Drosophila melanogaster: one gene and its partners. The protein of the gene in region 1 interacts with the protein of each later gene in a pairwise test. Each region holds a gene or a part of one and is shown in the gene's direction. Other genes may lie near its edges.

What was found.
Region 2: the proteins of CG12091 (region 1) and Sap130 interact in a two-hybrid assay, tested with the Drosophila melanogaster proteins (one large-scale study listed by BioGRID).
Region 3: the proteins of CG12091 (region 1) and TwdlD interact in a two-hybrid assay, tested with the Drosophila melanogaster proteins (one large-scale study listed by BioGRID).

Annotation. Positions count from the first base shown.
Region 1 is NT_037436.4:1,534,107-1,538,899, reverse strand, and holds CG12091 (uncharacterized protein), read left to right. Parts: upstream 1-2,064; 5' UTR 2,065-2,338; coding exon 2,339-3,304; 3' UTR 3,305-3,971; downstream 3,972-4,793. Other genes in the region: pns (pinstripe), read right to left, coding at 1-180, 746-855, 911-1,190.
Region 2 is NT_037436.4:12,804,377-12,812,767, forward strand, and holds the start of Sap130 (Sin3A-associated protein 130), read left to right. Parts: upstream 1-1,525; 5' UTR 1,526-1,678; intron 1,679-1,809; exon of another isoform or gene 1,810-1,863; 5' UTR 1,864-1,888; coding exon 1,889-1,961; intron 1,962-2,310; exon of another isoform or gene 2,311-2,491; coding exon 2,492-3,454; exon of another isoform or gene 3,455-3,509; coding exon 3,510-4,100; intron 4,101-4,141; exon of another isoform or gene 4,142-4,169; intron 4,170-4,344; exon of another isoform or gene 4,345-4,392; coding exon of another isoform or gene 4,393-5,628; exon of another isoform or gene 5,629-5,720; intron 5,721-5,829; coding exon 5,830-6,287; intron 6,288-6,351; coding exon 6,352-7,212; intron 7,213-7,271; coding exon 7,272-7,510; intron 7,511-7,573; coding exon 7,574-7,844; intron 7,845-7,903; coding exon 7,904-8,074; intron 8,075-8,132; coding exon 8,133-8,240; intron 8,241-8,303; coding exon 8,304-8,391. Other genes in the region: Atg1 (Autophagy-related 1), read right to left, coding at 1-68; CG32110 (uncharacterized protein), read left to right, coding at 4,393-5,628.
Region 3 is NT_033777.3:26,638,009-26,642,182, forward strand, and holds TwdlD (TweedleD), read left to right. Parts: upstream 1-2,016; 5' UTR 2,017-2,066; coding exon 2,067-2,081; intron 2,082-2,146; coding exon 2,147-2,902; 3' UTR 2,903-3,046; downstream 3,047-4,174.

The DNA of each region.
Region 1 (4,793 bases):
GAACATGCTCTGTAGCGTGTGAATGGCCCCGCAAATGTTTCGATTCCGAATTTCCTCGTAGAACACCAGACTGAACCCATAGCACCGCTTTCCATCTTCTCGTGTCGTGGCAAACGAGTGGAAACGGGGTTCGATGCAATGTTTCTGGGTGCGGAAGCGCAGGCCCTGCGGTAGTGAGAGCTGTGGAAGACAAATGGCGGGGGTGAGTTCTCGATCTCAAGTGGCGGGCATAAATAAAATCCATTCATTCGAACACATGCCCAGATGCCCGAGATAAGGTTTATCGGTGGAGGGGTGACGCTGTCGTATTCGTGGCATCAATTATAAGTGCTTCTCTCACAACAACTCGGGACGAGTGTATCAATGAACTAGCTAGCCAAGCATGAATTTCCACCGAAAGGGCAGCCAATTGAGCTCAATTAGACATGAATATGGATTAGGGTGGCTCGGTCATTCGCAAGATATAAGTTTTTCTATGCTTCAGTTCTACACTTACAATGTAATGATGTAAAAATGTAAATATAAAAATAATTAAAAATTCACATTTAGCAGTCTGAACTGATTCCATTGACAGATGGCAATAAATCACTCTCTGACCTAATGATTCATCAAAATGATGTGTGTTTGGGAATAAGCATGAAGGAAGCCATTTAAATAGTTTAGACTATCATACATTATCTAATCGACATTAACCGATCCACCCTAAGATGGCTAGGGAGTGACTTCAAACAGTCTTTATGATTACCATGCATATGCCGTGGGCATCGAAGGGATTCCAGGGCACGTTCTCGGGATAATGGGCCAAAGGCTTGCTCTTGTAGGCGCGATCCAGCGGCGAGCAATGTAGGTTGTCCCCTAAGAGGCGTAGATGTGAAGTTAATCCCAATCTCGGCGAGCATTCATCACTTACCCGCAAAGCGATCCGGTTCGAGACCCGTGTCCAGATCCAGTCCACATATCACAAAGTAGTCGGCGAAGCGCGAGAACTGCGGATCCGCATCCCGCTTCAGTTGGTTCAGCTCGGACTGAGATTGGGACTGCTCCCCGGGCGAGGTGGGAGATTGCACCAGGGTGGAGGATGGAGCCACCTGGATGTTGGGACCACTTCCATTGCCACTGCCATTTCCACTCCCGCTGCTGAGCATCAGCTTGGACAGGCGACTAGAAACCACATTCTCCCTTGTGGTCATCGCGTCCTCGTCCTCCTCCTCCGTTTCTCTGTCTCTCTCTCTTTGTCTTTAATCCGCCAAATGGGACATCAAACAAAAAGCACTGCCTCCATGTGTGTGCGTGTGCTGCTTGTGTGTGTATACATGTACCGTTATGCGCTCGCGATTTCGTGCACTTTCGAATTTACACAACCAATCAATTTCCGTCTGCAAAATACGTACAACTTTAGGCACAACAACAAGCCAAGTGCTATTTTTACTTGTTTGTTTTATTTTTACAATTTCGACGAAGGTGTGCGTGTGCGAAGGAGAGTGTATGCAAAATTTTCTATGCCAATGTCGTTGCCCACGTCCACCACCAACAACACAACACTCTCCTCTTTCACAATTACACTGTCGTATTTAACCCGCTGCTGGGCCGTGGGAGCCACAGCAATCACTAGCCCCAAAACTGGGTTAACACTGGCTGCGTGTTTGTTTGGACCTACCAACAACAAAGACCAGCTGGGCAAACAAATATCGCGGAGTAGAGCAGACCTGAGTTTTTTTTTGGCAAAAACAAACTACTTTGGTCGCCAGTATGACCAGGCTGTGTAAGTAGGAGTAAACCAAAAGAAAATGACCGTTATAATAATTCAACTAAAAGCATAAGGGGGTTTCTTTAAAATACCAGCAGAAAAATACTTGCGAAAAACAATTGCATCGAAAAATATGTTTGTTTTTTAAAACTTGAGCAATAAGTAAAGCTGCATATTTTACCACCCTTTTTGTTATATATACCGTTGGTGTATATAAACGAGTTGTACTGGTTCCGAAAATAACACTACTACAATAGGGTGTATATGGTTTCGGAACCCGTTCAGGAGCGGAGAGTTGGGGTGGGGAACCAGCACCGAACCAGTTCTGAACCGGATCGCGACCTGACGAGAAAAAGTGTATCACTTCATCACATAACATTTCGCATTTAATTGGAACGTAAATTGTGTGCCCCGTCGAGACAGGAGTTTTGCACCGGAAAAAACGAGTGCGGAGGAGTGGCGTGTAGGAGTGAACGCCAAGGAGGAGCACTCCGACGTCGTAACAAACGAATAAAACGAATCCAAATCCGACACCCCCCCACATGCGATTGATTTGATTGATTGAGAGCACGAGACCACGAGTTCTGGGCGATGCACTCGTCACTCAGCTGGACCTCGCGTGCGATCTCTCGCGCCCTGCGCAGCAGCTTCTCCACGCTCCTGGAAACGGCCACGGGTGGCGGAAGTGGGGCAGCAGCCAAGGGGGCCACCAAGTCGGGAGCGACACCAGGATCCTCGGGCGCCCCACGACCCCGTTTCGTGTCGGTGGTGTGCGGCTTCGCCAAGGACAACCTGCGACACAAGTACAAGCCGGGAAAGTACGGCGAGGACTCATGGTTCAAGGCCTCCACCGCCAGTGCCGATGTCATGGGCGTGGCCGACGGCGTGGGCGGCTGGCGAAGCTATGGCATCGATCCCGGAGAGTTTTCATCGTTCCTGATGCGCACCTGTGAGCGGTTGGTGCAGTGCAGCCACTTTAATCCCCAACGACCAGTCAACCTGCTGGCCTACAGCTACTGCGAGCTGATGGAGCAGAAGAAGCCCATACTGGGCAGCAGCACCGCCTGCGTCCTGATCCTCAACCGTGAGACGAGCACCGTGCACACGGCCAACATCGGCGACAGCGGCTTCGTTGTGGTGCGCGAAGGCCAGGTGGTTCACAAGTCCGAGGAGCAGCAGCACTATTTTAACACACCCTTCCAACTGTCATTGCCGCCGCCGGGACATGGGCCCAATGTCCTCAGCGACAGCCCTGAGTCGGCGGACACGATGAGCTTTCCGGTGCGGGATGGCGACGTGATTCTCATTGCAACCGACGGAGTGTTCGACAACGTGCCCGAGGATCTAATGCTGCAGGTGCTTAGCGAGGTGGAGGGCGAACGCGATCCCGTCAAGCTCCAGATGACGGCCAACAGCCTGGCGCTGATGGCGCGCACCCTGTCCCTCAACAGCGAGTTCCTCTCGCCCTTCGCCCTCAGCGCCAGGAGGAATAACATTCAGGCGCGTGGCGGCAAGCCGGACGACATCACCGTTGTCCTGGCCACCGTGGCGATGTGAGAGTGGTGCTCCAGCCCATCCTCCCTAGTGATTAACGTTTACTTGTAGTCCGTACGTGTTTAGTTAGCTTTAGGAGCCAGTTTCGTGGTTCTGTCTACCGTTTAAGCTGCATGTTGAGATTGAGATTGTGATTGACGAGGACGACGACCCTTTGACCCTTTGCATTGTTAGTTACATATATACGAGCAAACTCATTTTCGAACCGACGAATCGACTTCGACGCATCCTGGTGAGCGACCCGCGCCTCGATTGTATACATAACCCTCGCTATAAGTAGAGAATGCGAATTATCTGCCCGATCTGGCGATCTCTGTCGTCAGTGGCGTTCTAATCACCACAAACAATAAACAAACAACCGATTGCGAAACAATCCCCGACGCCGAGGATCATAAATACGAGTCCGGGGTCCGGATGATGGAAGCTGGATGGATGGTGGACCCGGAATGGAGCGAGTCGAGTGCAGCTATCTGACTGAGGACGGAGGATTACCCATTTACGCGGGCGAACGAACTGTCTTTAAACAATTTTTGTCGAAATGTACTCACTGATATTTGCGACCCAATAAAATTTATTCAATGAAAAACAACGAATGCAGCTTGTAGTCACTTCGTGATAAATTCATTAAGCAAATAAATATGTGTAAACAATAAAGCTGTACGGAAAACTTAAATAGAACGTTCTAATTGCTTAGATTAACTCATGGTCAGAAAGATGGAAATTGATAGATTCAGGAGCGGACAAACTGATTAGCGTGGGGGTGTTTATTTTTAATGCGATGTAACAATCATTTTCCTCCAGAAGTATAGGTGAAATTACATTTTTAATTAAAAAGGTCTTATCTGAAAGAAATCGATTGCGCTTCTGTGACGCAGACTGACTACATATATAAGCATAAAGCTGCAAAAAATATATGCATTCTACAGATTATTATTATATTCGAATAGGAAAAATACCCAGAACTATTTTTAAAAATTTTATTCGAAAATATTGCGTTATTTCGGTGCAACCTTAATTATTTGTATCTAGAATAAAACGCGCTATGGTGGTGCTATTTTTTACGCAACTGTATATGTGTTAAATCGATAATATAAAAAAACATTTATTTTAATTAGTAAAGTTTTTCGCCAGTTTGTAAAATATGTTAACTTTTGGCTACACTTGTGGGTAAATTAAAAGGCTTCATAGATGCCAAAAAAATTTCAGTCAATAGCAACGCACCAAATCCCCGCTGAATTGGTAGGAGTCTAGTGACGAAAGCATCGGTTGCCCCTAACGTTCGGTAATTCAAATTTTGTGACGAATAATACAAATCACACAATAACATACATAACAGAAAAGCTTACGTAACTGAAATCATTATTTAATTTAATATATATGAAAATAATTAAGCTGACAGGGAATGCAGATTAAGTTAGTTTTTCAATAAAAGATAAAAGTGTTGAGCTACCTTGAAAAATATAAATAAACTGCGTGATTTAATTAATTACAA
Region 2 (8,391 bases), about 11 Mb from region 1:
ACGACGGCAAAGGCGCCATGGCCCAGCATATCCTTGGAGCTGTATTCATATTCCCCGACAATATTCATTGCATGCGAAAAAGGAGGAGGATGCGACGCCTGGAAGTGCTGCTCTCTCCCACTCTCCCTCTCTCTCTCTCACAGTCGTACACCCCCTCGCGCTCCACACTCTCTTTCGCTCGTGCACGCACGCTTGCTCTCCCCTTTTATTTTCTTCGCTCTTCTGCTTTGCTTTTGCTTCCAATTGCAATTGTGGAAAATGGAAAATCAATTTCTTTCCCCTTTGGCCAGCCACTAAATGTGATTCTCTGGCCCTCGACGATCTCCGAAATTTTCACGTAACACCACCACCGTCTTTTCCGTCCACCTGGCCAGTTGACAATTATCGGGCACACACTCTAATTTCACTTGTAATTGAATTAAACCGTTCTTTTCCGTGTGCGATTATCTCGGTTTTCAGTGTGGTATTGCTTTTAATTTGCGGCCCCACACTCGCGTACAAACACACACTTGCAGGATCGATGGCACACACTCTCTCACATACACACGCACGCACACACGGACGATCAGCGTAATTTCCTTTCGGTTTTTGAAAAATGTAGCTTTTTGGTCCCAGCGAAAAACTTTGCAAAAGGTGATTTTTCCAACTACTTCGCGAGAGAGACTAGTGGAAAAGGCAAGACGAAAACACAACTAAGCGAAGTGGTGGGTTGGCCAGTGTGGCCGCAGGTGGCGAACCGCCAATACGCCCCCGCGCGAAAAATACCACTTTCTTTAAAATACCAATGGGTCTTAATTTTTTGATTATATTCTTTTAGTTTTATTTTTGGGCCCAAATTTTCGAGGATAATAGTTGAATATTGTCAAGCTAATACCTATTTCGCTATATTATTATTATTGTTAAAACTAATGATGAAGAATTGTAAACGTGAACCATTGTTTAAAAGTACCAAAACAAGCCAATTTACTTGGCTTTACTTTACTTTTCTTCTCTTTAATGAAGAAAAAGTCACAAAATTGGGACAAAGAGTTTACTTATGCCAATGCCTGCAGAGCCTTGCTGTATCATCAGTTTCTGGATGGAAATGGAGACAAAACACAATACCAATCTATTAAATGACAATAACTATCAATTAAATGACTAATATTGGCTGTACACCAAGTAACCTATCCCCAATACTATGAAGAGTAGGCATTCCTCCTGGGTTGAATTTAACAAACTTCTTTGGTGTCTATTTTAATGAAGAGAAATCAAAGTTTTGACGATATATACAAAACAATATGTGTTAACATTGCATTACTTAGTTAAAAATCTATAAATCAATGAAAATATTGAATGAATTCCTTAATTTTATGATATGTTGGAAATACTTGTATTACTAATATGATTTATAAAATTCGTGCTTAAAAACCTATCATCCTAAAATGACGGTTTAAGCGGATAAAAAATTGTTTTGGTATTTCCTTACTTGTGTAATTTCCGAGTATTTTTCTGAACACCTAGCGTTTAGTATTTCATAGATTACTTATTGTTTTCAATCTGGTAACACTACTTAATTGAGCCTTGTGAAAAGAAGAGCGGAAAACAAGAAAAACTTCTCGTATTAATAGGTGGCGCGGTAAAAATCATCAAGTCTAATTTGCTGCGCTTAATGTGTGCGACCAATTAGCATAAAAAGGCAAGTTTATCTAAGAAAAATTTCAAAGTACAGCCTTTCTCAGACTGTTTTCGTGTGCGTGCTTGTGGAGAGATTTTGTGGATACATAGTGCGCAGTGATAAGAAGAGAAAGAGCGGGTGGTGTAGAAGAGGCGAAAATCGTGTGAAACGTGGAACAGAAGTCTAATGCCAAAATCGTCTTTCAGATATCGCAAAATCAAAGCTGGAATAATGAGTGCGCCTAGTGAGGGTGGCGCGGGAGGAGGGCCGGTGGGCGGTGGAAGTACAGCTACAGCGCCATCAGGTAAGTCCACCGATATCCAAGTGGAATATTTATATATATTTATCCCCATACGTATATACGTATTAGCATTGTCCCCGTGTATGCGTATGTATACATAACATTTGTGCCCCTCTCTTTTGCTCTTGCATACGCGCACTGTTTGTTTCCTATTCCTCTTTGTGCCTCACATTCGCAGCAACGTCTGCGTTTGTATGCCTTTGTTTTGTTGTTACTGTGCATTCGTTTCAGGGTTGCCAACTGCCCACAAAATGTTCTTATTTAGCTTGATCTCAAAGATAATATATTTCCAGTTATTTATCTAATAAATTTACTTGTTTGGCTCTTAAAAAATAGAAACATACATCTTTTTAAAATTGTATATTTATATTATATTTAATTTTCATCAAAAGGAAACAAATATTATTATTAAATTTAAAAGCCAAACAAATAAACCAATGTTATATGTATGTAGCTCCCCAATTTCACTTGTCCGTCCATTGGTGTTCCATGTGGAGCTTTTAACCGAAATCTCACAGTAGCCACCCGCACAGCCCCCCTGAAAACCATTAAGATACGCACCCAACAACTGCACACCCATGCAGTGCCATCGTTGTCATTGCTGCCATCTATATATCCATCATCATCATCATCATCTCTGGCAGCCACTGGATCTTTATCCGCATCCGCATCCTTGGTATCGCACTCACATCCGCCCCTGCAGCTGCGCGGCGTCATAAACAAATACTCATTGCCATCCCATTTGCCATCCTCTGCAGCGCACCCGGCGGTGGCCGCCAAGATCACCCACGTGAAATCCGACGGCGGCGGTGGGATATCCATTGCGGGCACACCGATCCTCAGCGGAGGCACAATTAAGGTGGCGTCAGCCAATCAAGTTCAACAAACTTCCCTAGGTGGCACTCCAATTGCTCTGAATGCAGGACAAGCGACTACGGCAGCTTCGATCCGTGCTATTGGCGCTGGTGGTCAGTCCACACAGGTGCGGGTGGTGATGCCAATGATCAAGCAGCTAGAGAATGTTACGGCCACCGGAAGGACTCAGATAACAGCCATACCAGCTGCACCGGCGAGGAGTGGGGCGAATGCATCGATCACGGTTACCAGGCCCGTAACCCAGGCCACATACTTGCCGCGAGCCAGTGTGACGGCCACCCAAATGGGAGGCGTTGGCGTTGGAGTTGGCCAGCGGCTCGTCACGCCATTGAGAGCCACATCATCGGCCACGGTTACGCCCACAGCGCCAACAGTGCTGAGCTCAACCGGAGGATTCGTACGCGGAGCAACAGCATCGGTGAGCAGAAGTGGAGTGGCGCTCACATCGCAACCATCGTCGGCTGTCATCTCGTCCAGCAACAGTGGTGCTTGGATGCAGAGTCAGGGACAGGTGCAACTGATCCGAACCATTCATCAGCCGCGCCAGCGAATTATAACGACATCCGCGGGGGTTTCGAATGCCAGTGTAGTGACCACTACTCCAGTGCAGGCGCCAACAGGTATGTTGTATCTTTTCTTACTCTGCAACATCATCCTAATTGTGTTTCCACATAGCTCTTTCCGTTTCCGCTGGCCAGCCCTTGGCGACACAACAGGCGACGGGACCGGGAGGAGGTCCTCAGGCCTATGTGGCTACTGTATTGCCACAGAGGCAGCATCAGGCTACACTAGTTTACTCCTCCAATGTGTCTGCACCGAATGCAAGTCAGAATCCGGGTCAGCAATTTAATCCACGCTTTGCTGTGGCCACGCCCACAGGCGGAGTAACAACAACGACGCCCGGTGGAACGACAGTAACACCTCGACAGGTGCGACCAATTCCGCTGGGCAAGAGTTTTCCAACCGCTAAGCTGAACACAACCAGCATAAGTATCAGGGCACCAAGCATACCGCAGCTGAATACCAGCGTTACGGCATCTCCAACGGCCGTTAGTGTTTCCGGTGGAGCAACAGTGGCACCCGGGCGGGGTCCCGGAGCCGGAGGAACTGCTCTGACGGCCACTAATTTGCCCACCACACGGATCATTCAGCTGCAGCAGCCAGCGACGGGAACCACTCAACAGATCATCGGATCCGGAGCTCGTCTGGCCGGGAACGTGATGCTGCAGCCATTCTTGATGAGCACTACCGCGGCGGCTAAGATGGGTAAGTTAGTACTTATAACTGGAATACTCTAAAATGCTTACTAAAGAGCAAGTCATCTAGTTTAGCAATCTGTTAAGCAATAGTCAATTCAGTATTTAATTTTTATAAAACTGAAACTTCTGCTGTTAAGTATGAAACTATCGATAAACCACGTTAACTGTCATCTAGGAAGCAGAGAATCTACTATCAATTCGTGTTGAAATAGGGGGACCCAATTTTTATTTCAATTGTTATCAACAGCTTACGAACTAATATCATTCAGTTTAGTCAACATCCAACAATCATCAGCAGCATGCTGGCTTTCGAGAAGGAGATCGTGGAGAAATCTAGATATTTTGATCTAATCACAAAAGAGTGTCAGGATTACCCTATGGCCAAGACAATGCCAGTTCTAAAGCAGCCCGAGAATTTCCAGGAACAAGAGGAGGACGTTGTAATGGCCGTGCAAGAAAAACTCAAATTTTTCCGCAAACTAACCAGCAATGGTCCCGCAGTCCCGACACCGCTTAAAGTCGTTGAAAAGGAGGACATAGGACATAAGGAGATACCAAAGGTGGTCAAGAAAGTTGACCGTAAAACGAAACTGCTGCAAGCCATACCAGCGGTCTTCAAACATAGCCACAATCGACGCTTTCGAAGATCCTTATTTTTAAGGTCCAACTATATCGAGCAATTTCGGCGTTGGACGGATCAAAAAAACAAGTTAAATAGAAAGCGCTTGAATGAAGCACATCAGTTGTGTTTAAAAGCCAAACACGAGCGAATTGCCTGCGAAATCGATAGATACAAGAAGCTGATCCTTAAGCAGTCCGTCCATGTGATCGAGGACATAAGAATCAGCAGCGAATTGATTCCGCTGACCAAAGAACACCATGATCGGCTGATGGAACTATCTAAGTATCCACTGCAGCAGGTAATTGTGGCCAAGTTCAATTTGGACATCTGCGGCAGTGATATCAAAATCCTGACCAGTGGCGGCTGGCTCAACGACAAAATAATCAACTTTTACATGAACCTACTGGTCGAGCGATCGGAGAAGCGTCCTGGTACAGTGCCCAGCGTGTATGCCATGAGCACTTTCTTTGTGCCCCGCCTGCTGCAAAGTGGCTTCGATGGCGTAAAACGCTGGACTAGAAAGGTGGATCTGTTTAGCATGGACCTCATACTTGTGCCTGTTCACCAAATGCTCGTTCACTGGTGCCTGGTCATAATCGATTTGCCTGCGAAAACAATGCTCTACTACAATTCAAGAGGCCGCGGTGACCCGAATCTGATGCGAGCACTAGTGAAGTACCTTCAAATGGAGTCGGAGGACAAGCTCGGGCTGTGTTTGGACACCAGTGAATTTCGCATCGAGGATGCCCAAAATGTGCCGCAACAAGACAACATGAACGATTGCGGCGTGTTCGTCTGCATGTTTGCAGAATACCTAACCCGGGATGCTCCAATAACGTTTTCCAAGAAAGACATGAAATATTTTCGCACTAAGATGGTTCTGGAGTTGACCGGCGACCAGCTGTGGAAGTAGGTGTTCTCCTATATAGAGTTTACTTTTTTATGGATTGAACTGAGCTGAGAACTATACAATAAGAACAAAAATAAAATAGTGTTTGAAAATTTAAGAATTATTTCGTGACTTGTTCTTTTGTAAGTGGAATATGATAGGAATAAACCCTACCACAATTAAATGAAATAATAATAATATATCTTTGAAACCATCAATCGACAGGCATTCGTCCACCTGTCACCATGACCGCTAAGGTTCAGCCATCGCTAACTATTACACAGCTTAATCCCATCGGAAAACTGTCAGCTGGCGGAGGAAGTGGAGGACAAACAATGGGGCCGCAGGGCGTGGCCAGCATCCAGGCGGTGCCAGTGCCGAATGTCTCTGCCAGTGTGGTCAATTCAAGCTCGGTGACGGGTGCCACATCGGCGGCCGGTGGAGCCACTGTCCTGCCACTTACCATCAGTGGCAGGGGAGCGGGAGTGGGACCAGGCGGTAATATCCTCACGGGAACTCTGACGCCCATCAAGAACGCAAGCGGCATCACTTTGGGCAAGATGATGATGGCACCAGCTTCTTCTGCCCCTGGAGCAGATGGTTCCAGCACAAGCGGGGCAACAGTGACGGGCTTTCAACGCACCTGGAATCCTGTAGTTGCTTCACAGAGCCAGTTGATGAAGGTAGGTTTCAACTATCTACATATATGATGCTTCAATTAACTATTAAAACTAAATCGTTATACAGATCGATGAGAAGGGAAGTGCTGCCACAATCTACTACGAATCTATGCCAGCCTCCGCCTCCACAGGCGTTCTATCATTGACTACGACAACAGTGACGCAGAGCACCCAGGCGCAGGCACAATTGGTTAGCAGCGCCGGTGGCAGCTTGTCGGTATCTTCGTTACCCTTTGCAAGTCACGCGACTGCCGGAGCGGGATCAGGTGGCGGCGGATCGCAGGCTACTTTTACGGTGTTGCCGTCGGGGGCTGGTGGAACAGCCACCCGAACCATTGGCCACCAGCAATTGATAATACCAGCAGGACCAAATAGTGCGCCGCCGCAGCACATGGTTATTCCGCTGCATACGTCCGTTAAGGTGACCACGGGAGCGGGCAATCCGCAACAAGCAACTGCAAGTGGAGCACTGGTGTCCAGCTTTATGCGCAAGCGGGATGCGGAAGGTTCGCCAATACGGGCGGCTAAAAATCTAGGACCCACTTTGCTTTCAATGGCTAGCAATAACAGTGGACAAAACATGCCACCGGCTCCGGGCACCACGTTCAACATTCAGCCGGTGTCCGTGACAGTGCCTCAATCAGTTGGCTCTGGGCTGACCGTAGAGGCGCTGGCCAAGAAGGAACGGGAGCGAGTCACCCATGGTGTAGCAAGTAGCGCCGCTAGTGTGCCTGCCACAGTTGGCCCCGTGAACTCAACGAGAAATTCGAGGGCGGACTCGCCGGCTTCGTCGGACGGCTCAACTACAGTGTCGGCGAATTCCTCACCTGGTGTGGATCAGCAATTACAGGACAGGATTGGCGATCAGCCAGCCACGGGAGGCGCTGGTGGGCGCGATAATTCCACGCATTTTAATCCCATTAATGAGGTGTGTACACAACAATCAATATATGCTTAAGTATGGCTTTAATATTTGTTCTTCAAAAGATGTACTCATCACACCAATCGATTCAGCAGAACCTTGGTCACTCCTCACTGGGAGCCCGCAGTGGTAGCAGTGCCTTTGTGGATGTGCAAGCACCAACGCCGCAGCAACAGCAGCCTCAGCAGGTGCCTCATTTGGTGGGATCGACGCAGATGCAACAAGGAACGCGTATGAATGGTACTGGTAATAGCTCCAGCTCCAGTTATGACTGCTCCTCTAGGAAAAAGCCGCGACGATCGACGTGAGTTATTTGAGTGGTTGTATCAAATGATGCATGTTGATAATCTGATAATGTATTTGCCAGCAATGACAGCCAGCACTCTACGCAGAGTCAAGCATCCTTATCGCTGCCACCTCCAAGTTCGGAGCCAACGCCGCCGGCTGGCGCTTCGTACATGCAGAAGCACAACAATGGAGGACTACTGGTGACAGCAGCGACCCCGGGTGTTGCTCCCAACAGTGCGCCAGGCGATGCCAACCACCGGAACAGTACACCTGCTGTGGCGGGCAACAAGGAGAACGCAAATCCCGTCGACTTTGTGATTCGTCGTCCGCGCAATTGTGCTTTGCTCAATGTAAGTTGAAGGTTCAGTTCATTTTGTGGTAGTTAACAAATGATTCCGTTGATCTACAGACGTATAAGCCCACACATAAGTTGGCCAACAATCATTTTCATCGGTACACTGATGTTAAGCCAAGGGAGGAGCGGCGGGCCACAGTCATTGATCTGGCCAATCAGCCAAATGTGCAGGGCAAAATCAATGGATGGAAAATTTATCATTTACGCTCGCAAATGGAGGACTTGGTAAGCAATGGGCACGAAAGTATTGGTAGGCTACTTTGACTGAACTGATTTCTTACAGAATGAATCGGAAGTCTTTAGTCTGGGCAGGCTGGAGACCATGCTGCAGGATCTCGAAAAGGACAAGGAGAAGCACAGCGAAATTGAGCGAGTCACTGAACTGCTAAAGGTGCGCTCTTATACTTATATCCATTATGCTTGAATCTCAACATAAAACCAATTTACTTTGCAGGGAAACATTCAACGCAGCAAGATTATTACCGATGGCATCAACGAGGCACAGAATCAGTTAATGAAGATCTTCGAGCATAAGCCACACG
Region 3 (4,174 bases), on another chromosome or scaffold:
TTAATTACTCAGCCCAAGAGCGGAACACTTTACTTCTGAGCTTCTGTCCCACACACTTTGTGGATTATTTTCAAAGTATCTCTTAGATAATCATTAAGGTGTTGTTAACCGACTCCCGACTCCCGACGCCAAATGTTTTCTTAAGCAAATGTCGCCGACGCCGTTGTCACTCGCAAACTTTTTAATGAGCTGCGCGCGGAGTTTTCCCACCGCTCCACCCACTCGGAATCGCTGTTCCTGCATTGCCCCACCAGGACGCAGGATTCTACGACAGGCGGTACTTTAAGAATGTTTCAACTAAATTACGCCACTAGTCGGCAAACAACAGTGATGTGGAGAAGGGGTCGGAGATGACAGGACACTGGGGCTGACATCATTTCGCTTTGCAAATTGTTTTAGTGTCAAAGGTCAAACACACACTTACACCCGAGTGCCAGCGCCATATGACACGGCGAAGTGCAGCCGTAAAAAGGATCCCTCCGCTGTTCTCTTTCCTAGTTTCCAGCGCAAATCTGTTGAGCAAGTTTTAGTTTAAGCATTTTTGAGCAACATGAGATCCTGGGCGGCGGAGGACGAGCTTCGCTCGTTAGCGGCGCCTGCCAAAAACTTTGCCAGTCACGTCAAAGCTGCCTCTCCAACAATGCTCCCCAATCCTCCGCCAACCCACAAGCACTGCCCTTCAGGTGGCTTTTTTTATTTCGCGGTATCTCCAAACACTGGGGAACACGAAGCCAAGCGCTTTAATCCTGAATCCTGGCCGGAGGCAGCTCATGACTTGCTGCAATTTTGGGACAGGTGTGTCCAAGGTCCAAGTCTCGGATTCCATCCAGCAACAGCAGCAGCAGCAGCTGCCAAGTTTGCGTGTTTTCCAATCTTTTCATCGTTTTTGGGGCTCTTGGCTTGTTTGGCTTGCCATCTCCAAATTAGGCGCATTTTTGGCGCTGTTTTTTCTTTTTTTGTTTTTGCCTACCAACTTTGGTATGAGTTTTGCTGTGCAGCGGGCCCGGCTAATAGCCAGCCAAACGCTGGGTGGAGTCATCATGGTAGTGCGATCAATGGTAGTCCCATAATTTAAGCATCCATTGGGAACTGAAATCACAACAACTATATGGTATATCACAGCTTAAATTCTTAATACTATTAAGCAGATACAGATAAAAGTCATCCCCTTATAGTAAGATTATTATCCTTATACCAGCTGAACTGTCAAACGAAGATTGTAATTATTAATTTCTTTCTTGTATCTTTGGTGACCCGTCGACCCACACAGATGCTATTCCACAATTTAAATTCTTATTTCGCCGTGGCCATCAAACGATGCCGAAAAAGTTTAAATTAGTTAAAGAACTTCATTAACTGAACCGTCGAAAAAGATTGACGTTTTCGACTCGTGCTGCGCAGTGGATAACGCGAGCTCGTGGAAAATTATGAAAATTATAATTACCAGCTTAAGCTGGCCAACCCGGAGCACCAACTGCCGACTGGTAACTGGCAACTGGCAACTGGCATCCCATCCAGTGAGCAGTGACCGCCAGCCACCAGATATTATCGCCAAAGCCAGTAGCTGTTTATTTTCCGAGCATTTCAACACAGTGGCTGCCGTTTGGTCCGTCTCTGCAGCATCCAGATTGTGTTTTTTATGGCCTGTCGTAGCCAACACAAATCAATTAGATAATGTAGCAGTGTCGTTGGCGTCCGCCGCATTTGCAATCACAGTCCCTGATATCCCATGCATATTTATAACCGTCGCAGAGTGCATTAAAATCAAAGCCAAGACAAACGATCGCGGGCTGGCGATAGGCCTAGGTCGGGGAATACGCTTGCATATTTAAACGGTGGGGCATTTTAATGACTGTCGAATAGCATCGAAATCAAATCAACAGCGCTGCGACAGCAAGGTCGTTCGTTAACAGGGGATTTCTCTATCTACCTTGGCCAAAAACTGGGTCTATTTCGTGGGAGGGGTAAATGCAGTGCCGCGTCTTCAACTATAAAAGCCAGATTGTGCTGAACTCCCAGCATTAGTTCCTCCTGTCAGCTCCATTTGTACACAGCTTCCAGTCACCATGCGTGCTTTTATCGTAAGTGTCTAGAAAATAAGGGAATCGAATAATACAGTATAAAACTAATATTTAACATCATGCAGGTCCTCTGTCTGTTGGCCGTGAGCTGCAGTGCCGATAAACTGGGCTACAACTACCAACCCGTGGCACATGCCGATGAGGGTCTGTCCTTCCTGCCCGGAAGTGGTCAGGTGATTGGAGAACTTCCGTCGCAGGTGCTGCCCGTGCAGAGTGGCGAAGCAGTCCTCTCCCAGCCCATTGAAGCACCTGTTGCTCCCCAGATTGCACCTTTGGTAGAGGAGTTCCAGAAGGAGTTCTACAGCTACGCCGCCCCCGAGGAACAGTACGATGAGGGTGCCAGCAACCAGCAGATCGCCAACTCCCTGAAAAAGAACCTCCGCGTCGTCTTCATTCGCACTCCCGAAAATCAGGGCTTCGAGCGCGCTGCCCTCCAGTTGGCCAAGCAGTCTGCTCAGCAGGAGACCGCCATCTATGTTCTCACCAAACAGTCCGATGTGTCCAACCTGGCTAAGCAACTGAATGCCCTGAAGACGAGCTCCACCAACAAACCAGAGGTGCACTTCGTCAAGTACCGCACTCCAGAGGATGCGGCTAATGCCCAACTGGCCATCCAGAACCAGTACAACCAATTGCCCGGCGTGTCTCGCATCTCCAACGAGGGTCGTGCTCCTGTCCTGAACTTTGCCTCGTCTCCAGCCCAGGCTGCTGCCATCCCAGCCGTTGCTGCAGCTGCTCCCAGCTCGGAGTACCTGCCCGCCAATGTGGTGGCTGGCCAGGATTACCTGCCACCCAATCTGCGTCGTTTCCGCGTCAAGTAAATGGTCTCAAGTGAAATTTCAACGGTAACGCTTCCTATCCCAGAATATCGCATCGAAAAAAGAAAACACCTAGCTACTCCCATCACGTGCAAGTTAACTAGCTTTTAAGTATCCATGTAGAGGAATAAAATTTGTTTTGCTGACAAATTCCCGATGTGAACTGAAAAACTCATTTGCAGCCTAATTGCAGGATTCGGCCATTTCCATGCTGCGGAACCGAACCTTTCCGTTGTGCGAGTTTCTCTTTTTGCCGGGCAAATCCTGTCTGCGCATTCGTGCGTTGTCCTTTCACATAAAATCCCAGAAATAATAGCCTGGATAAAGCGGCTGGCATGTCATAAAGTCCAGCAACAAGTTGAGCCACCCACATGACACCCACTCATATTGCCTCCCGGGAACTGAAACGAAACCGCACCCGCACAGTCATGGATTCTCCGGCATATGCACAATGGTTTTATCCCATCCGCCATTTGTAATTGGAGTTATTAGATTCGAAATGAAGTGGTTGCAAAATGGCCCGGTCTAGACCCGGTTACAGTATCCGTCCACTCTTTGTAAGCCTGCTCGTAATCGGTGTCTCTCAGTGATGGGAAAACTAGGTGAGTGCTAGGTACAAGGAAACTTTCCAAACTATTATGGGTATATGCTATATGAAAAGCATTTGCTATGTACAATATATATTAGCTGGTGGTCCCCAAGTTTGCAAGCTTAATTTCATGCTAATTGTATACAAGTACGCTTCAGGTTTTCAAAGCTAATAATCAACTACCACTTTCCCAGCACGTCACTGGTACTTATTGTTGCCAGCTCAGCCGCTCTGCCCGTTGCGGTTTGAATAAGTGGCAACGTCCTGTTGCAGGTGAAAGCTGCCTGTATTCCTGATCTGTGTCCTGCCGGCTGGCGACACTCATTGAGTGTGATTGTGTACCCTTTTTGCGGGGTGTGAGCAGATTTTACCGTGTGAGTGTGTGTGCGCCTTGATGGCTTCCTGCTTCCGTGAATGGCAAACTCATCATGCGAGATGCGAGCACACATGGCCCGAAACTGAACTATGCTGAGGATTTGGAACGTTGTTGAGTGGAGTCCTTAAATTTCACTTAGACGTAACATAAGCCCGATATAAACGCAACTCAACGGTGCATGTATTCATGGCCATCAGGATGTGTGTGCGTCTGTGTGTGTGTGTCTGTCTTTTGGCCCTGCAGGAATCGCACGCTTATCAGCAGTCGAGTGCAAACTGAATCCGTTGCTCTTGTGCGGTACAGTGGCAAA